Xenopus tropicalis: one gene and its partners. The protein of the gene in region 4 purifies or fractionates together with the protein of the main gene of each other region. This does not show direct contact. Links are inferred from orthologs where the notes say so. Each region holds a gene or a part of one and is shown on either strand. Other genes may lie near its edges.

The links.
Region 1: the proteins of dyrk1a (region 4) and sec16a purify together in Homo sapiens (affinity purification with mass spectrometry, with the first as the bait; 3 studies listed by BioGRID). This does not show direct contact. The link is inferred for Xenopus tropicalis from reciprocal best matches to the Homo sapiens genes DYRK1A and SEC16A.
Region 2: the proteins of dyrk1a (region 4) and glcci1 purify together in Homo sapiens (affinity purification with mass spectrometry; 8 studies listed by BioGRID and IntAct, with this or other methods). This does not show direct contact. The link is inferred for Xenopus tropicalis from reciprocal best matches to the Homo sapiens genes DYRK1A and GLCCI1.
Region 3: the proteins of dyrk1a (region 4) and fam53c purify together in Homo sapiens (affinity purification with mass spectrometry; 8 studies listed by BioGRID and IntAct, counting the BioPlex papers as one, with this or other methods). This does not show direct contact. The link is inferred for Xenopus tropicalis from reciprocal best matches to the Homo sapiens genes DYRK1A and FAM53C.
Region 5: the proteins of dyrk1a (region 4) and lzts2 purify together in Homo sapiens (affinity purification with mass spectrometry; 8 studies listed by BioGRID and IntAct, counting the BioPlex papers as one, with this or other methods). This does not show direct contact. The link is inferred for Xenopus tropicalis from reciprocal best matches to the Homo sapiens genes DYRK1A and LZTS2.
Region 6: the proteins of dyrk1a (region 4) and lrch3 purify together in Homo sapiens (affinity purification with mass spectrometry; 3 studies listed by BioGRID and IntAct, counting the BioPlex papers as one, with this or other methods). This does not show direct contact. The link is inferred for Xenopus tropicalis from reciprocal best matches to the Homo sapiens genes DYRK1A and LRCH3.
Region 7: the proteins of dyrk1a (region 4) and prkar1a purify together in Homo sapiens (affinity purification with mass spectrometry; 6 studies listed by BioGRID and IntAct, with this or other methods). This does not show direct contact. The link is inferred for Xenopus tropicalis from reciprocal best matches to the Homo sapiens genes DYRK1A and PRKAR1A.

The regions. Positions count from the first base shown.
Region 1 is NC_030684.2:6,549,404-6,552,903, reverse strand, and holds part of sec16a (protein transport protein Sec16A), read left to right. Parts: intron 1-2,074; 5' UTR 2,075-2,132; coding exon 2,133-3,500. UniProt on the Homo sapiens protein: Acts as a molecular scaffold that plays a key role in the organization of the endoplasmic reticulum exit sites (ERES), also known as transitional endoplasmic reticulum (tER).
Region 2 is NC_030682.2:34,486,547-34,490,046, forward strand, and holds part of glcci1 (glucocorticoid-induced transcript 1 protein), read left to right. Parts: intron 1-760; coding exon 761-974; intron 975-3,500.
Region 3 is NC_030679.2:48,027,591-48,031,806, reverse strand, and holds the start of fam53c (protein FAM53C), read right to left. Parts: upstream 2,801-4,216; 5' UTR 2,657-2,800; intron 2,615-2,656; exon of another isoform or gene 2,506-2,614; intron 2,438-2,505; exon of another isoform or gene 2,305-2,437; intron 1,060-2,304; 5' UTR 935-1,059; coding exon 857-934; intron 1-856.
Region 4 is NC_030678.2:12,501,150-12,504,649, forward strand, and holds part of dyrk1a (dual specificity tyrosine-phosphorylation-regulated kinase 1A), read right to left. Parts: coding exon 3,432-3,500; intron 3,356-3,431; coding exon 3,209-3,355; intron 1,540-3,208; coding exon 1,399-1,539; intron 465-1,398; coding exon 158-464; intron 1-157. UniProt on the Homo sapiens protein: Dual-specificity kinase which possesses both serine/threonine and tyrosine kinase activities. Exhibits a substrate preference for proline at position P+1 and arginine at position P-3.
Region 5 is NC_030683.2:29,786,038-29,789,537, reverse strand, and holds part of lzts2 (leucine zipper putative tumor suppressor 2 homolog), read right to left. Parts: intron 1,987-3,500; 5' UTR 1,948-1,986; coding exon 1,465-1,947; intron 1-1,464. UniProt on the Homo sapiens protein: Negative regulator of katanin-mediated microtubule severing and release from the centrosome. Required for central spindle formation and the completion of cytokinesis.
Region 6 is NC_030681.2:100,436,127-100,440,148, reverse strand, and holds the start of lrch3 (DISP complex protein LRCH3), read right to left. Parts: upstream 2,801-4,022; 5' UTR 2,782-2,800; coding exon 2,460-2,781; intron 1-2,459. UniProt on the Homo sapiens protein: As part of the DISP complex, may regulate the association of septins with actin and thereby regulate the actin cytoskeleton.
Region 7 is NC_030686.2:50,524,461-50,527,960, reverse strand, and holds part of prkar1a (cAMP-dependent protein kinase type I-alpha regulatory subunit), read left to right. Parts: intron 1-456; coding exon 457-630; intron 631-1,802; coding exon 1,803-1,894; intron 1,895-2,605; coding exon 2,606-2,667; intron 2,668-3,073; coding exon 3,074-3,120; intron 3,121-3,322; coding exon 3,323-3,481; intron 3,482-3,500. UniProt on the Homo sapiens protein: Regulatory subunit of the cAMP-dependent protein kinases involved in cAMP signaling in cells.

The DNA of each region.
Region 1 (3,500 bases), on a different chromosome or scaffold from region 4:
AGTTAGGGGGGGATTTGGGGTGAGTGCTTATTTGTGCCCTGGGTACCCCTGGAACTATAGCAGGGTGACTGTTACCCCAATGTTTCTATATATCTGTAACCTTGTTATGGGCTAAGGGGGCCCAGCCTGAAGGCCAGTTAGGGGGGGATTTGGGGTGAGTGCTTATTTGTGCCCTGGGTACCCCTGGAACTATAGCGGGGTGACTGTTACCCCAATGTTTCTATATATCTGTAACCTTGTTATGGGCTAAGGGGGCCCAGCCTAAAGGCCAGTTGGGGGGGATTTGGGGTGAGTGCTTATTTGTGCCCTGGGTACCCCTGGAACTATAGCAGGGTGACTGTTACCCCAATGTTTCTATATATCTGTAACCTTGTTATGGGCTAAGGGGGTCCAGCCTGAAGGCCAGTTAGGGGGGGATTTGGGGTGAGTGCTTATTTGTGCCCTGGGTACCCCTGGAACTATAGCGGGGTGACTGTTACCCCAATGTTTCTATATATCTGTAACCTTGTTATGGGCTAAGGGGGTCCAGCCTGAAGGCCAGTTAGGGGGGGATTTGGGGTGAGTGCTTATTTGTGCCCTGGGTACCCCTGGAACTATAGCGGGGTGACTGTTACCCCAATGTTTCTATATATCTGTAACCTTGTTATGGGCTAAGGGGGCCCAGCCTGAAGGCCAGTTAGGGGGGGATTTGGGGTGAGTGCTTATTTGTGCCCTGGGTACCCCTGGAACTATAGCGGGGTGACTGTTACCCCAATGTTTCTATATATCTGTAACCTTGTTATGGGCTAAGGGGGTCCAGCCTGAAGGCCAGTTAGGGGGGGATTTGGGGTGAGTGCTTATTTGTGCCCTGGGTACCCCTGGAACTATAGCAGGGTGACTGTTACCCCAATGTTTCTATATATCTGTAACCTTGTTATGGGCTAAGGGGGCCCAGCCTGAAGGCCAGTTAGGGGGGGATTTGGGGTGAGTGCTTATTTGTGCCCTGGGTACCCCTGGAACTATAGCGGGGTGACTGTTACCCCAATGTTTCTATATATCTGTAACCTTGTTATGGGCTAAGGGGGCCCAGCCTAAAGGCCAGTTGGGGGGGATTTGGGGTGAGTGCTTATTTGTGCCCTGGGTACCCCTGGAACTATAGCAGGGTGACTGTTACCCCAATGTTTCTATATATCTGTAACCTTGTTATGGGCTAAGGGGGTCCAGCCTGAAGGCCAGTTAGGGGGGGATTTGGGGTGAGTGCTTATTTGTGCCCTGGGTACCCCTGGAACTATAGCGGGGTGACTGTTACCCCAATGTTTCTATATATCTGTAACCTTGTTATGGGCTAAGGGGTTCCAGCCTGAAGGCCAGTTAGGGGGGGATTTGGGGTGAGTGCTTATTTGTGCCCTGGGTACCCCTGGAACTATAGCGGGGTGACTGTTACCCCAATGTTTCTATATATCTGTAACCTTGTTATGGGCTAAGGGGGTCCAGCCTGAAGGCCAATTAGGGGGGGATTTGGGGTGAGTGCTTATTTGTGCCCTGGGTACCCCTGGAACTATAGCGGGGTGACTGTTACCCCAATGTTTCTATATATCTGTAACCTTGTTATGGGCTAAGGGGGCCCAGCCTGAAGGCCATTTAGGGGGGGATTTTGTACCCCTATATATCTGTAACCTTTCCCGAGCCTAGTTGCAGTTACCTGTGTGGCTGGGCAGATTGCTTTGCTAAGTACCAATTCCTGGTCACATCCTGGTTGCACTATGGGAAATACCCACTCCTGTAGCTCATATTGTTCCTTTTATCATGTTTCCAGCCGCTCATTCATTCACCTGAAATCCATTTGGCAGGGGGAAACCATATTATTTGCCCGTCTTTCAGATCCGAGGTGACACCCGGGGGTTATAGTGTAGGCACTAGTACTACCATGTCTTTACCGTGGGAGCCAGATGAAGCCGGGGAGACGTCTCTGGGACCCCAGCCACTAGATGCCTTTATATATTTATCCTTTATGTACAACGTGGGGGTTGTTATTACCTGCTCTGTAGATCACAATGGATTCTGACAGAGTCTCTTTCTCTCTCTCTCTCTGCAGTTTCATTGATCCTGGAGTTTTGTTTCCGGAGACAGAGAGTCGCCAGTTAAGGACGGAGATGCAGCCCCCTCCCCAAGCTGGGCCTCCAGGCATGGGCGGGCCCCCTCGCATGGGAATGGGCAATAATGCCTACTGGCGCAAAAGGGGACCCAATCCTGTATCATCCGCTTCTACATCGGTGCAGCCAGTGACCGACCCTTTTGCCTTTGGCCGGATGACCCCACAAAGTATGGCGCAGGGCAGTGCCCCGACAGGAAACCCACTGATGGCACCGAGTCCGTCCCCGTCGATGTACCCTCAGCCCGTTCCTGTACACGGATCAGGGGCCGGAGACCAAGGGCATGTGTCTCCCCCATCACTAGTAGGAGCCGTACCACAGCCCGTTGCTAGGGGTGAGATGTATACCAGTGTATCTGCCCCGTCGGCAGCAAGCGCCCCTTTTACCAACTACCCAGCAGCCGCGCCTATTGCCCAGCCCGGACTTGGTAACATGCAGACTTATCAGAATACGGCGAGTGGACTTGAAAACGCCTTTGTGCCGGTGCAAAGCAGGGCCCAGTCAGCCCAAGGCTTATCTACTGCCCCCTACTTTGCCCCTGCACCGTCTCAGCCAACTAGCGCTCCCTGGGGGTCCTTACCAAATGCACCTCCTGTCTCCAATCAGAACTTCCCCCTTCCAGTTCAGCAACAATCCCATAATTCTCCTTATTACTCCCCCCCTTATTTAGAAGTCTCTAATCTGGCACCTCAGGCAAGCGAAACTGGGGCACAGCCAGCACAACAGAGGGCAGCGCCAGGGTACTACCCACCTACCAGCGTCTCCAATCCTACCTTTCAGCACAGCAGTTCACAACCCCCCAGTTTAAACCCGACAGACTATATGCATGGGCAGAATCCTGAGCAGAACTGGTTCAACCAACCATACAAGGATCAGCGGCACCCACCTCTGCCAAGTTCTAACCCGGTACAATACCCGCCTCCGCAGCAGCCCGAGCCCCACCAGGAGGTGCCTAGTGCGTCTGGTCGAGTCTCAACCAATGCAGACTCTGGTACTATATCAATGTTTTTTAAAGGGGAAGAAGAAGAAAATGTGGAAATCGTTTCTTCCGACCAGCAGAACGCATCTATTAAAGCGGACCTTGGTTCTTCTCATTACCAGAACGCCGGATATCAAGGTGTGTCTTCTCTACTGCCGCAGCCGACAGTCAGCAGTGGCATTCCGGCAATGACACCGATCACTTTAGCGTCTGGCGTTCCCCACGTCCCCTCATCTGCCGGCAATGCCACCCATCCGCATTCAGCTTGGAGGCAGGACACCCTTCCTCTTCGCGATAATACGGCTAAACCCAGGGAGATGCCCTACGACAACGTTGAAAACATCGAGTGTGTTCAGAACCAGGAAGTTCTCCCCAACGAGCCCAATCAT
Region 2 (3,500 bases), on a different chromosome or scaffold from region 4:
ATAATAAATATGTGTACTTTTCCCACCCTCACATTAGAAATGAAAGTAAATTATCTCAGACATAATGTTAAACTCCCTGGCTCTTATGAAGAGTACTGGTTTCACAGGGTACAGATACACAGTGAGATTACATTACTGTATTATGTTTAAACATATAAAGCTCAGTACTGCAAGTTAGCTTGCACCGTGCTGATTGTATCTGACTTGAGACTTGTTTGCCTCAACACAGTTTTATTACACGGTAAATGCATTAAATCGATATTTACACTCCAAGCACAATGCCAAATAGCAATATTCTGGGTGTTTTCCATATTAGCAGGCAACAAAATGCTTACAGTCATTCCAGATTTCAAGTGCCATTTCAGTGACAATAGCCTGGAATTGTGTGTAGCTTCTGCTGAGCTAGAAATCACTTAGCTGTCAAAACACCTTAATGTACCCCCTCTGTTATTGGCCTAAGGGTAATGGCATATATGCTGGTTTTCACTATCACTGCTACATTTATATATTGCTATCCACTGATATAACTGTCAAATGCCAACATTTGTCCTGCACAGGTGGTACACAACATTTTAGGGTGCTCCCCAGTCAAGCTGCAGTGCATCCCATTTACTTTAGGAAATGAGCAGTGCACTATGGCCCTAAAAAGTATGAAACACAAAAAAATCTAAATAAAAGCAGATAATTGTGCCCGAGTACATATGTATAACCAAATCATGGTGATACAAACACAGTCAATTAAATTGTTATTTTTTCTTAGCCTGTAGAAATTCCTGATGGGAGAAGAGCACCAGTACCTTCCACCTGTCGGAGTAGCAGCACCCGCAGCATTGACACACAGACTCCCTCAGTTCATGAACGAAGCAGCAGCTGCAGCAGCAATCATTCCCCTTGTGCTTCTCCATCTTGCCCTCATGAGTCACAGGAAGGAAGTCCATGCTCAGCGGATGATCTGCTATTTGACCGAGATAAAGGTATATTTTTATAGGATATCAACTGAATTACTGCATAAGAGGCTTTTGTTTGGAAATTGGTATTTCTGGTGTCTTTGGTATAATGATAGAACTGAAAATTACAAACCGCAGATTCACAGAATGACCTGTGCCTAGAATAACTGCCCTTGCACCTTTCAGCCTGAGCTGGAAACAGCAAATCCATCCCTCCATTATTAACATTTCTTACCATGCTTTTGTCTTACAAACATCTTCCATAAATTGCTTGGAAAACCTTTTTGTTTTTGTTTTATATAAAAGAAAAAAATGTTATGCATGAAGCAGCATTTTATATTTAGGTACATATATTATACCTATTTGTAAACAGATTGTAGAATTCCTGAAGGCCGCTCTGTAAATGTTGGTCCACATTAATTTTTTATATAGCGAGGACACCTTCTGCAGAAAATGTGTCGTGTTTTGTGTGAATGTGTAGTATTTTTGCTTGCAGTACCACTTCTCATCCAGATAAAACTTTCCCCTATACTTTGCAGATCCAGGGTGTGTGTTCTGCCTGTTGTGTTAACATACAAGATTATTGTTTAATCGTTTGGTGCAAAGGGAGGATAGAAAATCTAGCAGAAAAAAACATCCTTAGTCCTCCCACTCTCCATCTTGCCTACCCCAGTTACTCCACTTTCACTATCTGATCTCTCCTTTTTTTTTTTCCTCCCTGCACCAATACACATGCTGAGTGCAAAACAAACTCCCACTCATAATAACTTACAGATTATAGACGTAGCAGACATGAGGGTTTTTGGCTTTGTTTGTCCTCTTTTACTGATTTTACTTTCTTATCTCCTGTCCTTTTAGGGCTCTGGCACACGGGGACATTAGTCGCCCGCGACTAATCTCCCCGAAATGCCATCCCACCGGCGAAAATATTGATCGCCAGTGGGATGGCATACGCGCCGCCGCAAAAGTTTCCTCTCAAGGCAATGACATCCCACCGGCGACTTACATTTTCGCCAGTGGGATGGCATTTCGGGGAGATATGTCGCGGGCGACTAATCTCCCCATGTGCCAGAGCCCTTAGGGAACAAAGCACTTAATTAGAAGCAGAGTACAGCTTGCCTTTCATATGAGAGAGTGGATGTAGATGACATCTTATACAACATGTCGTCCCTACGATTGATGGCATTCATTCACTTCATAACATGCATGGTCTCTCCCTAGTGACGATTCGTTTAGCTGCATTGCAAGGAGGCTGTCATTGGCCGCCCTTTAACATGTCTTCTTGTCGATGTACCATCTTAAGTCATATTTATTAAGAGATTATGGGGCTTACTAAATTCTTGACACTGGGTAGATGTGAACCAGGGCTATTGACGAGTGCCATTGGGCGTGAAAAAAGATACACGGTAAAAAAAAAAGGTGCATGTTAGCTGAGATAAAATGCCCACTGATCACAAATTTTTACCATTTTGCAAATTTTTTAGTGAAGTGAAATAGTACAGATTACTACCCAGAGAATGTGTGGAACTGTAGGTCCCTGAATGGAATGTGGGTTATCAGCGTTCTGAACCAGATAGTGTATAGACAGCCTGTCTAAAGAAGTTTAACGTTGCTAAATAGCAGTAGTTGTACACGGCACAGTATTAATTATAATAATTAAAACATAATTCAATTAAAAAAAAAAAAAGTAAACAAATTGACATCAAATTGTCTTTACCAGCATGTCACCGTATAAAGTAGCAGTGCTTTAGGGCAGCCTGGGTTTGATTTCAGAGATGAAATGGACAGAAATGATGCATGGATTAAGTACATGTGTTATGGGTGGGTATTGTAGTGGAAACCTGTATTTTTGAAATTATTAATGGCCAGGGACATCAGCTGATGTATAAAAGCATTAAAGGACATGTAAAGGATGTAACTTAGTATAGACAAGTTGCTTTTGGTAAGTATAAGTCACATCACCTAATCCCAGGCAGTGCTGTGAGTCAGATCATTAGAACCTTGAGTGTCACTGCAGCTTTGGCATGAGCATAGCAAGTAGAATTGCAGTAGCAAACTGAGCTGTGCAGTACACGCCAGCGAGCCTCTGGTTTGACAGTGATACAGTATCTCTGTGAGAATTTCTGTGTTCCTGCATTTTTCTATGACATTATAGCATAGCCAAGCACAGGGCAGGCAAGATGCAATCACAGGTATGATAGATGATAGGTGTAATGTTCTTATCAAGGGGATCCGAGCTCTAGGAAAATGCTACTGCTGATTTTACATCCCTGCCCACCACACATGCATCTGATTTGATAAAGCCTGTTAACATTCTATAATTCAGAAATAAAATCTTTTTGGATTTATTTATCTCCAGCTTTGGTCAGATATTTAATCGCAAGGGTACTATTTGAACTACTGCTTTTAGATATCAAGATAACAGAAGGTGTATGGGCACTGCAGACTTAAAGCAAGACTTTTCTTATAGTTATATTTCGGGTATTTTTAACAATACATGTGTTTCGGTGAGTAGTGAGTCAAGAGACATCACTAAATATATGTAAGAGCATA
Region 3 (4,216 bases), on a different chromosome or scaffold from region 4:
CTACTTACTAATATTTTCTAAATGTGCTAAATGTATAGGCTCTGAATTCTACTAGTAGCAAAGTTAAAAAAAGAACACAGGATCTTAAGAGGACATAAATCTACCATAGCAATGCTGCTCTAATACAAATTCCAACAACCACCAGTATATTATCAACCACAACAAGAGCTATGGTCCAGCAACCACAAGAGGTTTAATTCTTAAAGCAACACTGCACAGTGCACAAGAAAACTTCCTTAGCACAAGCAGCTCTACTTCTTCAAGATCTTACAATGTGAAATGTGCCTGCTGTGTTTACAACTGACTCTACTTCCTTATGTAGTCCGTGTTACAGTGGCATCTTCTATATTAAGGGACGATTTATAGTCAGCAGTAACCGGACCACCAGAACATTTTAACAAGTTTAAGTTATATTACATCATTCATGGTTGAACTGGTTCTAGGGCAGACCATGTACTGTAAAAAGTAAACTAGATTACGGAGTTTACATTAGTGAATTATGATCACAGAGTTCATATTTTATTACTGCCTTGATGAGTTTTAAATAAATGCACCATAACTAGTATAGTGGCAATAATATTTGTAAACCTACAGTGTAATACTGACAGGCTTGGGGTGCCAGAGAATCAGTTTTAGGGGTAGGTCTATTTCCTTTATGATGGTTTAGATAAGCTGGATAGAACATATAATTTCAGAATCTGGGTTTTTCTTACAAACTCACTGATTTTAAACACTGCATTTAGCACTTTCTACAAGAATAGTTTGCTGATATATATAGAAATTCCTTGACTTCTCAAGTTTAAAAATGCAGTATGGATATGGAATGGAAGCATGGAAGATTGATGGAACACCTTACCAGACTTATACTGAAAGACTTGCATTTTAGATCCTCCAGACTTTGTTTCTGCAATTGTTCCGTAATCATTGAGATCATGATGCCCAGGTCTGGCTGTTCATTTGTGTTTTCAGTAACGGTTATAGCACATGATGGCCCATTAAGTGCCAGGATCTATTGGGCCTGACCCAAGTGGAAGCTCAGATTGACCCCATCACTCCATCCTGCATGAGCCAAATACACAATCAGTCAACAGCTTTATAATTCTACACATTTAAAATCAATCACTAACAATCAGTAGCAACAAGAAATATTCTTGGAAGATGCATGTATTTTGTTGTAGCAATTTAGTCCAGAAACGTAACTGATAGCCAAGATGTCTAATTTACCTAAAAGTAATATCTGGACTGTAAACCAGCAGATCAGCAATGTCCAGCTTGTATCTTTCTTCCCCCTCTGAAGTACAGTTCCTAGCACCACCAGAGATACATCTGGCTGTTAGGAAAGCCACGATTGTAGTTAAACAAGAGTTGGAAGGCTGCAAATTGGACACCCCGTCAATGGATATTTTTGAGGCCCCATAATGTGTCAAATGTGTTCTGAATAAAACTTGGACATCATTTGCTTTTGATTCTTAACAAAATACAAGTTGGTTTATGAATAATTTCATTCATTCATGTACCGTGACCTGCTACTGACAAACTACCCATTCGCAAAATACATATATTGTCTGTGTATGTTATCCATGCCTCCAGATACCTGAACAAATAGAAAAATTGCACTGTTTAAGCCAAATGATTTTAGATTGCAAGCTCTACAGAGATGGGCCTTCTTTGCCTCCTGCATTGATCAGTATTTGTATGGAATCTGCATATTTGATGTATACACCCATCTACTATACAGGGCTACGTAATATGTTGGCAGTTTACACATTTCAATAATTCAATAATCATTTTACATTTTTGATCACAAGGTTTAGATCACCAAGACATAGGCCTTAGAAGCCAGGCAAACACTCAGTGGCAGAGCAGCATTAAAAATGTCTGTTTTCCAATGGGTACATTGCAAATATTAGTAAATGGCACCGGCAGTAGGTTTATTTAAAACAGAATTATCTGAGAACTACGCGAATGCTGTAGAAAGCTGACATGTTGTGTTTGAAGGAGGATGGGGAAATGTATGTAACCCATTTACACCAAGGTAGTTGGTTGCCTGCTCAGTAACATATTATTGGGCAAAACCGAGCAGCTACGCTGAGGGCAGCAGTGGGCCCCCCACCCTGTGACTGCATTTCTAAGTGTGGAAAATGAAGAGTTAACGGCTTGTTTATCTCCCTCCTCAGGAGATGGCCTGACCAGCGCCTACAAAAGGGGCCGCATCCCGTACCGCCCGATTTCCAGAGGCCTCGCTTTTCTAACAACCTCCCCGTCACCTTCCCGCTACCACCCCACCTGTTCTTCTTCAATTACCTGTTTCAGCAACGACCCTCCCAGCGACCCGGAGCAGCTCTGAGCCAGCAGCGGCCCTGCAGCGCCCTTAAATACCACCCAGAATATACCACTCAAATAGGGGAAGCTTGCTGTGTACAGCATTACAATTTGAGATGTGAAATTCACAATACCCGGTTTCTATAAGCCGATTTAATTATAAATGATTCCTACTTCCCTTACATTCAGAGATACAAGCACGGAGATGACGGTCAATGGATTTGCAGCATCCCGGAGTCGGCCCAATATCCCTCTCAGGTGAATGAGCTGTCCCGTCCCCATTGCGGGATAAACCATGAAGCTTTATAGACAGGGCAAATAGCGGTACACCTACCGACTACCGGTGAGGCGGATGACCTGTAAGCATCAGTACCAGTTCTTCCAAAGGTAATACTGTGTGCAAAACGCCTAATCACACCTTGTGGCCAGAGGCGCTCTAAGCGTGGGCGGTTCGCCGTAGCAGAAGCCACTCTTTCGCTCCCCCCACACCGGAGAGCTCATGCGAAAGCAAAGGTTGCTGGAATATGTAGTTTCCAGGCGTTTGAACAGTGCAGAGAGTATGCGGTTTTTACTGCTGTCTAGGAACTTGTAATCTGGGTTGTTAGTGGCCCTATATTTCAGAGGACGGTCACCCCTTAACTACATTCAGAGACAAACCTTGTTTCTGTGGTGTACTGCTTATTATTAGGGCCCCATCGCTCGGTATGGACGATCTGGTAAGTCAGGACCTATGTAAGGGGGAAAAGTTTATAGAATGCTGCGGAAACAACTACAATTTAGAACCAATGTTACGAATGTTAAGCTTTACAAAAGCACCAGATTAAAAAATTACATTAAGTATATTCAAAATAGAAAAAACCTGATATCTTCAGCCAAAGCTTTCTGACAAGAGGGAACATATCCTGGGAGCAGCTGCTAAGGTACCAGCATGCTTTGCATGAGAATTACATCACATTACAATTTTATAAAACTATTGTTTATAATTGTCACTGCTTAAAGCTGGCCACATGTAGTGATTTTCGATCAACAGATGGTCGCATGAAAGATCATTCCAACCCTCCACTGATGAATCGTCAGATATGGAGGTAGAAACAATAGGATTACTACCTCCTTCTGCCGATTCAGCCCTAAACAAATGGTGCCCAATCAAAATCTTTTAACCTGCCCAATCGGCAAGTCGATATCCTCAGCCTTCTGCGATATCGGTCACCTCACCGAGTTGCCATACACGCATCGAATATCGTACGAAACAAGGTTTTGTACAATATTATCGGTGTGTGTATGACCAGATTAACATAAATGGCAAGAAATATTTTATAGCTACGGGAGTAAATTACTCCTTCCTTTCGCTGAAGAATAGTAATAGCACACATATTTTTTGCTGCTCTGGGGTGGGGGAACAAAACTCTAAATCCCCCCGATAAATGGGATCCAACACGGTGCTTAATCTGCTCAAGACACTGCAAACAATAGTCATCTGCCATTAGAAAGGAAGAGGCTCATTTAATGTCCCTTCTTAGCTTTTGTGCTTCCATAAATTGAGGCCCACATGCTTGACATATTGTGGTGCACACAAGTGTAGAAACCAAAAGTTTTCAGTTCTGACACAAGCACGCCGTTTTTAAAAATACACACGCTTTGTTTTACCACACGAAAAGAAAAAGTTGTAAAAGCTAGCATTTTACAGAACTAGTTAAAAATGTACATAGGCAGGGGAAGTGGGGGAAAAAAAATAATTTTAGTAGCAGCCCAATAAACCAGATTTGGGGTGGGGGAGGGAGGGCCATTTGCTTTGGTACTTATTGAAAGACAGCCGAGCTGCAGAAGTTATGCAGCTTTTCATAAATGCTTATGTAAAAAATTGATGAGTACAAAAAAAGTTACAATAAAAATA
Region 4 (3,500 bases):
CTTTAGATTTATAGAGACTTTGTGGAAGGAAATAACAGCATTTAGCAACACAAATTAAACCATACTAAATGAGCGTTAGTAACCTTAAGAATGCACAGTAAGGAGTTTCCTGAGGTGTGGGTGCTACATTTGGGTGCTAGAGAACAAATCCTCATACCCGAGCTAGAAGATGTGCTAGAGGTGGTTCCTGATGACTGGGACTGCTCCATTGCTGGACTCGTTGATACACTGTTACTCGTGTTTGTACCTTCGTCAGCAGTTTTCTTAAAGAAACTATGTTGCAGAGCATAATAGGGTTGGATACGGGTCTTGGCATCATAATCCAACATCCTTAAAATGAGGTCTTTAAACTTCAAGTAGTCCGCTACAGTATGACCTGATTCCCCGCCTCGGCGGCCACCTGGTCCTCCAGTTTCTACTCCAAGTAGGTTGTGAAGTTTTCGGGTTCCCGGTGGTTTGTACTCCTAGAGTAATAACACAGACTCCCGTTAACAACTTGCTGGCACTGGATATACAGGCACAACAGTATTTGTCTATAAACAAAATAAACAAGCAAATAACTATGGGTTGGTTTAAAAATGGTGGTGCAATGTGATAGGGACCTTAGACTGTAAGCTCCTCTGGGGCAGGGACAGATGGGAATGTGATAGGGACCTTAGATTGTAAGCTCCACTGGGGCAGGGACTGATGGGAATGTGATAGGGACCTTAGATTGTAAGCTCCACTGGGGCAGGGACTGATGGGAATGTGATAGGGACCTTAGATTGTAAGCTCCACTGGGGCAGGGACTGATAGGAATGTGATAGGGACCTTAGATTGTAAGCTCCACTGGGGCAGGGACTGATGGGAATGTGATAGGGACCTTAGATTGTAAGCTCCACTGGGGCAGGGACTGATAGGAATGTGATAGGGACCTTAGATTGTAAGCTCACTGGGGCAGGGACTGATGGGAATGTGATAGGGGCCTTAGATTGTAAGCTCACTGGGGCAGGGACTGATGGGAATGTGATAGGGGCCTTAGATTGTAAGCTCACTGGGGCAGGGACTGATGGGAATGTGATAGGGGCCTTAGATTGTAAGCTCACTGGGGCAGGGACTGATGGGAATGTGATAGGAACCTTAGATTGTAAGCTCACTGGGGCAGGGACTGATGGGAATGTGATAGGGACCTTAGCTTGTAAGTTCCACTGGGGCAGGGACTGATGGGAACTGAGTGCTAAGCTGTATACATATAATACAACCCAGTGTATCTAGTGACAGTTTTATACATGTATATTGACTATACAGAAAGAGCAGGGACTGCACTGTATAACCAAATGTGCCTTTTGGGCTTAAACCTCATTAGAAACATGCAAAGCCGTTGATTCCTTTTCCATTCCATAGAATTTAGCAAATTACCTTTTTTCCATCTTTGGTCTTCTTTAAGTTCCAAGTGCCTTCTGGCATCTTCTCAAAGAACTTTCTAGCTTTTGGTGCTTGGTCAAGGATGTGAGCAGGTGGTATTCCTAAAACTTCCACAATTTTACTCATTTGATCAACCTACCAAGCGACAAAAGCAAAGTCAGTCGAGGCAGAACCCACACATGATGAAGTGACCCATTACAATTATGGGGCACCATAAAACAAATATGCCATCATCAAGTTATTTATATTGGGTATCCCATATATGTGACTGTCTGTGGGAAGACCCGAATAGGGCACAGAATTGCAAACTGTGGGGAGGACTAAACTTGGGAGGCAGTAGCCTTATAGGTGGCCATAAAGGCCCAGATTTAGTGGGGACTATTCTAAGCATACTGTAAGCATCTAAACTCATTTGGCTTTTAAAGGAAAACTAAAGCTTAAATAAAGAAGGAAATATTGTACATTATGTTTGGGGGGTTGTGTACCAGCCCCAGGCCCCCACAGCCCTTTAGCAGGGAAGATCTTTGCTCCTTAAGATTGCCCCAGTAGCCCCCCATCTCCTTTTCTGCCGATTCCCTGCCCATACTCTGTGCTGCTGGCACTTACCTGAGCTTAGGGGCCCACTCACTATATACTGTATATATAGAATATAAATGTCACAGTATAACCTGAGCTTAGGGGCCCACTCACTATATACTGTATATATACACTATAAATGTCACAGTATAACCTGAGCTTAGGGGCCCACTCACTATATACTGTATATATAGAATATAAATGTCACAGTATAACCTGAGCTTAGGGGCCCACTCACTATATACTGTATATATACACTATAAATGTCACAGTATAACCTGAGCTTAGGGGCCCACTCACTATATACTGTATATATACAATATAAATGTCACAGTATAACCTGAGCTTAGGGGCCCACTCACTATATACTGTATATATACAATATAAATGTCACAGTATAACCTGAGCTTAGGGACCCACTCACTATATACTGTATATATAGAATATAAATGTCACAGTATAACCTGAGCTTAGGGGCCCACTCACTATATACTGTATATATAGAATATAAATATCACAGTATAACCTGAGCTTAGGGGCCCACTCACTATATACTGTATATACCAAGTATAAATGTCACAATATAAGGCTGATTAGTAATTAATACAGATAATTACTACATGGCAGCTCAGAAACCAGTGCAGCTAGCGTGAGAATGTAATAATCACTGCTGAGCCACTGAGTTTTTCCCCTGCTGGTTGGTACTAAATCAGCCGCTCTAGAGCCAAAATTCGGATTTCCTGAATTGAAATTTCAGCTCTTCTGGTGCAGAGAGTGCTATTGTGCTGTCTGCACTAGCAACGCGGCCCCCTCCAGCGCAAAAAAACTAAATTCAGAGTGGCAAGGTGGGGGGCATTCCCTAGGCCACCTCAGGGAAGTAAGTAATATGTAGCACACCACCTATGGGTGGGCGATATCGGGGGAATTTAGGCTAATTCAATCGTTTGGCCCTGGGGCCAGCTCAATGCCGGACTCTGGGCGCTCCACCCCAACCCTGGATCGTGGGCAAAAGTAAATGGAACGTGACACAGCACACAGGGGTGGGGGGTGCACGCAGTGGGTGGGTATAGGCATGCAGACTTTGCAACTGGGTGAGGGGCCAGTGAGGTGGCAGCCCTTGTCTCAGACACCCCATTCCATAAGTGAGCATGACAGCATAAAAGTGATCTACCAATTTAAATCCATGGCGCATTACAAAAGGAAAATAAAAGTGTTGCTACTGCCTTACCTCATTGGCTCCACTGAAGAGGGGCTCCCCAGTGTGCATTTCTACCAAAATGCAGCCAAGGGACCACATGTCAATTGCAAGGTCATAAGGCATTCCTAGTAAAACCTCAGGAGACCGGTAGAAGCGACTCTGAATATACTGGTATATCTAGGGACAAGAAACAAGGTATAAGCCGATTGGCTTCCGTGGCCTCGGTTTCGTGGGAACAAGAGCCAATCCTTACCCTCTGCCCTAGCTGGCACGAGCTTCCAAAGTCCACAATCTTAATGGCGCTTCGTTTTGGGTTACAAAG
Region 5 (3,500 bases), on a different chromosome or scaffold from region 4:
CAGATCACATGTCTGCATGGGCAACTAATACTATTGGGGGTCTGTAACAACTGATCCAAGACCTTTATTAGCAACTAGTCTAATTGCATAAGCCAGCAGCTAGAAGTTGTCTGACCAGGGCAAATTTGAATGCTCTACTGTATGTGTATTAAACCTTCCAGAAGGAACACGAGTTTATCTATATACAATGTTCTGTACTGGTTTAATTCAGGCATCCTACAGCGCCCGTACTAAGACGGGAGATGCTTAGGTAACAGCACCTATCATTACTCAGAGGATGTGGAACAGGAACTAAAAGCTGCCTTTAATTGACGTGCTGGACTTGCCCATTTGAATTGCACATTTCAGGAGGGATTTGTAATTATGAGCTAAAAATAAAGCAGTAAGTGAACAGAAACACTAAGCTCTATGCTTGACTGGGATTTCCGATCCCACCTCCAGCCTTTAAGATTAGATATAAATGCGTCAAAAGAATCCCTAAAACACCTAGAAAAATAACAAGCTGCAAATTGTGTATTTTACGGGATTTACGGGAAGCTGCCGGAATAAAGGAAACGCCAGTATAAAAGCTGATGCATCATCATTAGGTGTTTTGTTTGAAATTTGACAATGTAAATAGCCCACAGCCCAACATTGTGCAAATATGCAAATAGCTGTAATTGTAAGCTTTGTGCTAATTGCAGTCCTACCTACTGACTGCTACTTTCTGTCTGTCCCATAGTGGGGCTTTAGGGGTCACACACAAGGCCTTTCCACTGACCTGCTGTCTTCCACCCTCACTAAAATCACAATGGAATGGATGGCCCCGTCCCCTTCTCAACCTAGAGATTTATTTGGAAATAACCATATTTTTAAAATGCCTTTAGTTGGATCATGGGGGGCACTATTCCATGAAATAAACTGAAGGCCAAATACACAGGCGAGTAGAGCACTAGTTGACTGCTATAAAGGGACTAGTAGATTTAATCAAATAAGTATTTTGGACCATATACTCTCACCAACTTTTAGTATGTTATAATGTACTATTTCTAGCAACTTTGCATTTGGTCTTCATTTATTTTTTTTTATACTTTGAATTATTTGCCTGCTTCACCTACATCTTTCCAGCTTTCACATGGGGGTCACTGACCCCATCAGCCAAAAATAAAAGTTACATTTTATTTCTTATCTATTTAGTTGCTCTTCTATTCATATTCCTGTCTCTCATTCCCACCACTGCCTGGTTGCTAAGGTAAACAAGACCCTAGCAACCAGATAGCTGCTGAAATTCCAAACTAGAGATCTGCTGAACAAAAATCTAAATAACTGAAAAAAAACTACAAAAAATAAAAAAGGAAAACTAACTACAAATTGTCCCAGAATATCAACATCTACATCATGCTAAAAGTTGATATCAGGGAAAACATGCCCTTCAAAAAAAATGAATGAATACATATTTGCACCCAATAACCAATCAACTATTACCTTTTCTAATTTGCCAGAGACTGGGATGAGTTTGGGGGGAGGCCCTCTTATATTCCCATTAAGAGCTCTCTCTTCCCGAATATCTTCAGCATCACTAGAGGGGCTGATTGGTACTCTAGGTTCATGCCATTCCTCTTTAAAGTCCTCGTTGACGTAGACATAATTCCCATTATTTCCAGAGGTAGTAGTAGAGGGTTTCTTTGTAGGAAGCCCATTAAACAGAGGATCCTGTGAGCTGTAATTACTTTTTATAAGCCCCTCTTGCTGCTTAAAACAGTTTGGCATGTTGGTAGGTTTGCGGCACTTGTTGCTCAATTCAGAGGCCTTGCACTGCTTGTCATGGTATGTCCTCCCAGAGATTAAGCTGCTGACGCTTCCCATGGTGTTCTCTGTGACAGGCGACCTGGTGTTTGTATGGCTTTGGCTACCACTGACCTCAGCGTTTTGGTCAATGGATAATGGAAGAGCTTGCAAGGCAGCCATAGTGTAGATAATCTAAATACAGAGGACTGCATAAACCACCTAGAGAAATACACAAGAGAAAGAACACTTAAATATATGGAAGCTTTACAACATTCCCAATGCATTTCTAATCATACTGCTAAATTCATGTTGCATTTCACTTTACTGAAAAAAGACAATAATAAAAGTTATTCCAGTTTAAGTTCCATGACTTCAGTCTACTGCTACATTCCTTCTGTGTATCAGGGGACCCGTGAGTGACCATAAGTGTTTTTATTATTAAGGCAAAAAAGGCTCAGGTACACCTATGCTATTCTATCATGTCCATTTCTAAAAATATAATTTTACATGTATGGAATCACTTTGAAGCCATTGTCTAAAGCAAAGTACAAAGGTTTCGGGCATTCCATCTCACCAACAATACAACCCTGGTACAAATACAGCTGAGCATTTCCTTATCATATTATTTCCTTCCCATACTGCTCAAGCTAAACACTATAGATAAAGCACACAAGGATTCTTTCATGGAAACGTCTGGAGTTCACCCCAAGCAATTAACTGTAGTTATAAACAGAGAATATCGTTCCCAGGGGAAGCAGAGTGTGCGCTTGTTTGTGGAACAGCGGATATTTGCTGATTTAGCAGATTATCAGTGCTTTATTGCTCACAGTTGCAATTAATCAAATTGTTCTGGATTAGTAAATTGTTTTGTGTTAATGAAGAATACTCTATTTGCCAATCTTTGAATAAAGCCAGAGTATATATATTACTCAGGTACTTCAGGTGAATAGCACACAATGGTTTAGGTGGCTAAGCTGTCACGTTACTGCCTGAAACCATTTGTTGGCTGTCGCAGTGACCAATCATGCCGAGTAAAACAACAACTGAGAAGCAGACATGTTATACGACCCAATAAGTAAGAAAATCCATCAGTAAATAACACACAAGCATTTTCTGTGTTACCATTTGTGGTCTTCCTTTAGGGAAGGTCAGTGATGTCCAACTTAAAGGGGGAGTTTACAACTTAAAATTAACATTAATGATGTAGAGAGTGATATTCTCAGAATATTTGCAATTGGTCTTCATTTTTTATTTGTGTTTTTATTATTTAGCTTCTTGTTTAACTCTCCATTTTAGCACATAGATGGGTAACCAGGTGGTGGTTTTAAAACTGGAAAAGCAATAGGAGAGGGGCTGAATAGAAACTTACATAATAAAAAGTAACAAAAAGTATTTTTGCTGCCAGGGAGAGTGACCCCCATTTGAAATCTGGAAAAAGTCAGAAGAAGAAGGCAAATAATTTAAAAACTATATAAAATAAAAGATAAAGACCAATAAAAAAAAGTTGCTAAGAATTGACCATTCTATAACATACTAAAAGTTAACTACCCCTTTAAAAACGATAATCGGTCAAATTCAAGTCACATTTTCAATGGTACAGGCTTATGTAACAGGGCCAACAGGAACATCCAAACACCAAACATGGGGGAGAGTTGGACTCTTCTATTCTTCAGTGGCATAGGGGGGAGCATGTGTGCACCATTCCTGGCTAAGGCACACTGTCATCTAGCAAC
Region 6 (4,022 bases), on a different chromosome or scaffold from region 4:
CCATTCAAAGGAGAAAAGGCACAGGTTACTTAGCCGATAACAGACAAACCCCCATTATATGGGGCTTATCTACTAGTTATCTGCTATGTAACCTGTGCCTTTTCTCCTTTTTTCCAGCTTGAATGGCTGCCCCCATAGCTACACAGCAGCTTATTTATATAGTAGCTTTTCTGTAGCAAAAACACCATTTTTTTTTTTTTGCAAAGCAACAGCACATTATATTTTAATTACTTTAAAACAATTTAATTTTTTGATGTTACTGTTCCTTTACATAATCAGTGAGAAGAATGGTACTAGTACTGGTGCTGCAGGTGCACTGCAACCCAAAACATTTGTAACAGTCCACTCAATTCCTAAAGAATTGCAACTTGTGAATTTTCCTGTAATTTTTTATTAAACAAGCAAACAAAAATATTTCCGACATAGGACCCTTCATCAGAATACCCTGCCACTGTACAATAAAACACATAGATAGAATCTTCTGCATAAATCGCTGTGTCTATATATTTATATTTTTCTATCATTGGGAGATGAAAAGGTAAAACTTAAGACTGTTTAGTCCACAGACTTTAGTTCAGTTGCGACATTATTAAAAGGGAAAAATATGTAGATTTACAATGAGTTACATTTTGAACAAATCCGAAAAGAGCCAAAAACATCAAAAGAAATTTATATTTGTATACCAGCCAGAATTAGTCTGGAACGAACGGTCAAATGCAGTATATACTGCAAAAGTTAATGTGTTTTATTTTAACACTAAAACTCTTTTTCAGGTGTGACATTTGTAGTATATAAGGCTTCATTGGATGGAAGCATTGGAGAGGTCCTAAAGCACAGTACTGAATCTACTCACCCTGGTTATTATGATTTATATTAATTACTTCAATATATAATTACTTATTATATATTATTATATTATATTAATTACTTATATATATAAGCTCCTTTGTATATCTGCATGGCTTTCCTCTCATACACCAAAAACATACATACAGGCAGGTTATTGCCTTCTGTCTTAACTGACCACAGTATGTGTAAAGCTGGCCATACACGTGGCGATCTCACGATGTTTCGTACGACCGTCGGTCGCACGAAACATCGTCAGATCCGCCACACACCATTCAGGGCTGAATCGGCAGGTAAGGAGGTAGAAACAATAGGATTTCTACCTCCTTCTGCCGATTCAGCTCTGAAGGGAGAATTTTGGTCAGGCGCCTTCTATGGCGCCCGATCAAAATTTTCTAACTTGGCCGATCGGCGAGCCGACCGATTTCAGCAGCTTCCTGCGATATCGGTCGGCTCGCTGACATGCCATACACGCACCGATTATCGTACGAAACGAGGTTTCGTACGATAATATCGGTGCGTGTATGGCCACCTTTAATGTGACAAGGAACTAAGATTGTAAGGTCCTCTGGGGCAGGGACTGGTGTGAATGAAGTATAATCTCTGTAAAATGCTGTGGAAATGTGTCACAGCTCTATTAATAACATGGGAAAAAACTCTGTGCATTATTTCAGCTATAGGTACTACCAGCCACTTAGGGGACCATAGGGCAGAGGTACACGGGGAGATTAGTCGCCCCACAATGCCATGCCTCCGACTAGAATGTAAATCGCCGGTGGGATGGCATATGCGTCGCTACGACTGTGAGACACTGCAGCGACACCTGCAATTTACTTTCTAGCAGGAGGGATGGCATTGCGGGGAGATTTGTGGCAGGGCGACTAATCTCCTCGTGTACCCCTGCCATTAAGACAGCCAACACTGAGCAGAATAGCACAGTTCAACATTCTTTTTACTAAAACGTTGCGTCTAAACCTTTATGGTTATGTATGGAGTCACATAGACCTGCATTCTCTACTGAAACATGCTTGTTAGAACATGCTCATGAGGTATTTTGCACATCCCACTGGTAACATTACACAGTATATGGCTTTCTATGTACGACATAACTCCTGAGCTATATCATTATAACTGATAAAACCACAAACCTTTATCCGTGGGGTTATGTATTCCCAAGCCAGTCCCCAGAGCCAGACACCTGTCACAGAGACAGACGGGCCCAGGCACTCCCTACCTGCCATATTCCTCTCTGCCAAGTTCACCCCTCTCTCTCTTGTAGCTCCTCTAACCAGGTCCCATTGCCTGTGGCACAAGCAACCCCACCGTCACACACAAATGTAACTCAATGGCTGGAATCGCCTCCCCCCCCCCCAGCCCGCGCTGCCTGTCACACAGTAACACATCCCCTACTCGAGTTTGTTTCTACAGTAAACGTATTGCGTTATTTTATGCAATTCTCCAGGTTACATGATGTAGAGGCTCTCCGGCTGTTTTTGGGCTAGACTTTGGTTGTCAGGGGATTCTGGGAGGTGTAGTCCAACAAAAACTGAAGTGGCAATGGCCGGACATCCAGACTATCAATAAGGCAAAGAAATGTATACTTTATCCCTCACCGGCTTGGGTGGTGTCGCTGAGGTCGTGCTGGACTGCACTCCGCGGAAACTCTCTCAGTTTCCTGCCACTCAGGTTAAGGACCCCGGTCACCGACGCTTCCTCCAATGCCCTCTCCAAAGAACGGTTCCATGCAGCCGGCCCTGCGCCCACTCCGGCCCCCGACGCTGCTCCATGGCTGTTGTGATTAATCCCAGAATAACCAGACACTACCGAGCCCTCGGCCAACACAGCGGCCGCCATAACACCGACTCCAATTTGCGCTTGCGCTGCCAGACTGACAGGAAGCGGGACACATGGGCGGGACTGGTGCTTAAGGCGCATGCGCTCCCGTAGAGGGGGAGGGAGAGATGGGGAGACCGCTCCTCAGAGCTGCGTATGCGCGTTGAGGGGACCAAAAAAGGAATTTCCGTAGAACAGCCAGAAGACAATTAGAATTCGTTTAATAGTATCTTTCCTATTTGCCACTACTTTATTAGTGTAACTGAATTCCTCTTTTTGCGACTGATAATGAAAGTACATTTTCTGTTCACGTTCGTAGGGTAAGCACACGCTTAATAGACCTTGAGGGGTATCACGTAATATCCTCCTAGATATATAAACAATTATTTTTGAAGAAAATATTAGTTCTATGCCAGTTTACCAAAATGTAACAGTTTGGATAACATTTTGAATATGGACGCAAATGTCAATTTTATCTCCCACGTTATCTCCCCAGGAGAAATCATTTTTAAGTATAAATGGCTGGGGTCTTCTAAATAGTTCAACCCGAAGTATGTGTACAGTGCCAGACTGGGGCACCCAGGGCCCATCTCCGCACTACCACATATACTGGCCAATGGTAATCTGGCCAACTGCACACTGGGGTGGTGGGGCCCACTGGGATTTTTCCTGGTGTCCCATAGGTCATTCTGACCCTGTATGTGGCATATAGAGACCAAATGAAAAAGTGCTAATATGCATATGAATTTTAATTGCTGCCAGTTGGGATGTGGCAAATACTGGAACTTTTTTCAAAGGTGTTTATTTATGCATTTGTAACATAAAACATTTGACATTGGTTCTACAAGCTTGTTCTTTTCATGTCAGGATATACAGCCATGGCCCAAATTGTTGGCACCCCAGAAATTTTTCCAGAAAATCAAGTATTTCTCACAGAAAAGTATTGCAGTAACATGTGTTTTGCTATACACATGTTTATTCCCTTTGTGTGTATTGGAACAGAACAAAAAAAAGAGAGGAAAAAAAGCAAATTGGACATAATGTCACACAAAACTGCAAAAATGGGCTGGACTAAATTATTGGCACCCTTAACTTAATATTTGGTTGCACACCCTTTGGAAAAAATAACTGAAATCAGTTGCTTCCCATAACCATCAATAAGCTTCTTACACCTCTCACCGGGAATTTTGGGCCACTCTTTGCAAACTGCTCCAGGTCTCTCTTATTGGAAGAGCGCCTTTTCCCAACTGCAATTTTAAGATCTCTCCACAAATGTTCAATGGGATTTATATCTGGACTCATTGCTGGCCACTTCAGAACTCTCCAGTGCTTTGTTGCCATCC
Region 7 (3,500 bases), on a different chromosome or scaffold from region 4:
GTTACTGGGGGAGCAGAGGATGCAATGTTTAGCTGCTTGGAAGGGGCGGGGAGTGCCCTGTGACATCACCGCTTATGTCATAGCTGCAACAAATGCCGCACAGTAAGCTGCCTGCTCATTGGCTGCAGCCCGGGGTGGTTCCTTCATTATCTGCCAGTACTAGAGGCCAGTTGTGCCTCTGTATTGAGGGTATCACTAGCAAGCTAGGCCACTATCGTCATCATCACCATCAGATGAGGGCCCTGCTCACAAGAGCTTACAATCTAAAGGGTAAGATGTGTGGCCAGCCAGTTGGTTCATATGAGGGGCCCTCATTGGTCTGATTCTGTGCCCAGTCTGAGCTACATCTGACCCCCCGGGATGTACGATAAGGCTCTTTGGAGAGTCCTATTGGTTATTAGCCGGGGGGGGGAGATATTAAATGATGATTAACTCCAATTTGTTTTGCTCCCCCAGGAGGAGGCGCGTCAGACATTAAACCAGCAGAAATCTGGCTCCCGTTCGGATTCCCGCGAGGATGAGATTTCCCCTCCCCCGCACATGAATTCTGTGGTTAAAGGCAGGAGACGTCGGGGGGCCATCAGCGCCGAGGTGTATACGGAGGAGGATGCCGCCTCGTACGTCCGCAAGGTAAAGGCCGCAGGTTCCTGCACCCTAGGGGTACTGTAGTCTAGCACCCCAGCCTGGGGGTACTGTAGTCTAGCACCCCAGCCTTAGGGGTACTGTAGTCTAGCATCCCAGCCTGGGGGTACTGTAGTCTAGCACCCCAGCCTTAGGGGTACTGTAGTCTAGCACCCCAGCCTTAGGGGTACTGTAGTCTAGCATCCCAGCCTGGGGGTACTGTAGTCTAGCACCCCAGCCTGGGGGTACTGTAGTCTAGCACCCCAGCCTTAGGGGTACTGTAGTCTAGCATCCCAGCCTGGGGGTACTGTAGTCTAGCACCCCAGCCTTAGGGGTACTGTAGTCTAGCACCCCAGCCTTAGGGGCACTGTAGTCTAGCACCCCAGCCTTAGGGGTACTGTAGTCTAGCACCCCAGCCTTAGGGGTACTGTAGTCTAGCACCCCAGCCTTAGGGGTACTGTAGTCTAGCACCCCAGCCTTAGGGGTACTGTAGTCTAGCATCCCACCCTAGGGGTACTGTAGTCTGGCACCCCAGCCTAGCTGTAGGGGTACAAGTGCTCTAGCACCTCACCCTAGCTGTAGGGGTACAAGTTCTCTAGCACCTCACCCTAGCTGTAGGGGTACAAGTGCTCTAGCACCTCACCCTAGCTGTAGGGGTACAAGTGCTCTAGCACCTCACCCTAGCTGTAGGGGTACAAGTGCTCTAGCACCTCACCCTAGCTGTAGGGGTACAAGTGCTCTAGCACCTCACCCTAGCTGTAGGGGTACAAGTGCTCTAGCACTCCACCATAGCTCATAGCTTTAGGGGTACAGTACTCTGCCCCTACAGCTATGGTGGGTTGCTAGAGTACTCTACTCCTTTATCTATGGTCTGTGCTAGAGTACTTGTACCCCTACAGATATTTTGGGGTGCTACAGTACTCTAGCACCCACTGGCTGCTGTTGGTGAGTTGTAGAACAACCAACGGCTGGAGGAACAACATAAATGAAGTATTATTCCCTGTATCCCCCCCACCCCTGCATAAAGCGTTCCATCTCCTTCCTGTCCTTTCTCCATCCGTAACAATGGGCTCCACTATTTCCCATGCTGAAGGTTAATTGCAAGGTGACTTGCCCTTTAAATTCCCAGCATTACCCAGTGGTGCCTGCTGATATATAACCGCCGCCTCTTTCCCCTTCAGGTTATCCCTAAAGATTACAAGACTATGGCGGCTCTGGCCAAAGCCATTGAGAAGAACGTGCTGTTTGCCCATCTGGATGATAATGAGAGAAGGTATGAGGGGCCCCGTCCCAGGGTGTGTGGCTCCTACTGACCCCGGCTCTCTGGGACTCTGTATGGGCTATAATATCATTTCCCTATACTGGAACCCAGCGCTATATAGGTGCCGTATCATTGGCCGGGACTCTGTATGGGTTATAATATCATTTCCCTATACTGGAACCCAGCGCTATATAGGTGCCGTATCATTGGCCGGGAATCTGTATGGGCTATAATGTAATTTCCCTATACTGGAACCCAGCGCTATATAGGTGCCGTATCATTGGCCGGGAATCTGTATGGGCTATAATGTAATTTCCCTATACTGGAACCCAGCGCTATATAGGTGCCGTATCATTTGCCGGGACTCTGTATGGGTTATAATATAATTTCCCTATACTGGAACCCAGCGCTATGTAGGTGCCGTATCATTGGCCGGGACTCTGTATGGGCTATAATATCATTTCCCTATACTGGAACCCAGCGCTATATAGGTGCCGTATCATTGGCCGGGACTCTGTATGGGCTATAATATCATTTCTCTATACTGGAACCCAGCGCTATATAGGTGCCGTATCATTGGCCGGGACTCTGTATGGGCTATAATATCATTTCCCTATACTGGAACCCAGCGCTATATAGGTGCCGTATCATTGGCCGGGACTCTGTATGGGCTATAATATAATAAGTCCCAGTGTGTAACTCTCCCCTTTTCCCATCTTGCAGTGATATCTTTGACGCAATGTTCTCGGTTACATACATCGCCGGAGAGACCGTCATACAACAAGGTGAGGGAACCGCCCCAGTGCCAGGGTGCTGGCCCATTGCCTCCGGTACCAGGAGTCCGTGCCTTTCACTGCACACAATCCCCATTGCCTTACAGGAGAAAGAGCGGATTATCAGCTTTGTGTTACAGCTTAGCCGTGTCCCCGGGGGGCGGGGATCCATGTACGGCATAACCTTGTCTGACACCCGTGTCCCCGGGGGGCGGGGATCCATGTACGGCGTAACCTTGTCTGACACCCGTGTCGCCGGGGGGCGGGGATCCATGTACGGCGTAACCTTGTCTGACACCCGTGTCGCCGGGGGGCGGGGATCCATGTACGGCGTAACCTTGTCTGACACCCGTGTCGCCGGGGGGCGGGGATCCATGTACGGCGTAACCTTGTCTGACACCCGTGTCCTTTCTTGTAGGTGACGAAGGCGATAACTTCTATGTGGTTGACCAGGGTGAAATGGATGTAAGTTGTGCCCATATACAGCCTTACACAGAGATGGTAACACAATAGGAGGGTTATGATTGTGCGGCCAAAGGATTGGATCTGAGCCAAATTAAGCAGAGTTCCTGTCACTGAGCGACCCCCCCACACCAGTGTATGGGCAGCTATAAAAAACAAATCAAAGGCGTGATAAAAAAAATGTGCCTTAATTTCCATGTTTTAGGTGTACGTGAACAACGATTGGATGACCAGCATCGGAGAGGGAGGAAGCTTTGGGGAGCTGGCTCTGATTTACGGGACTCCCCGAGCTGCAACTGTGAAAGCCAAAACGAATGTGAAGCTGTGGGGCATAGACCGCGACAGTTACAGGAGAATCCTTATGGTGGGTTAACTTGGCCTTT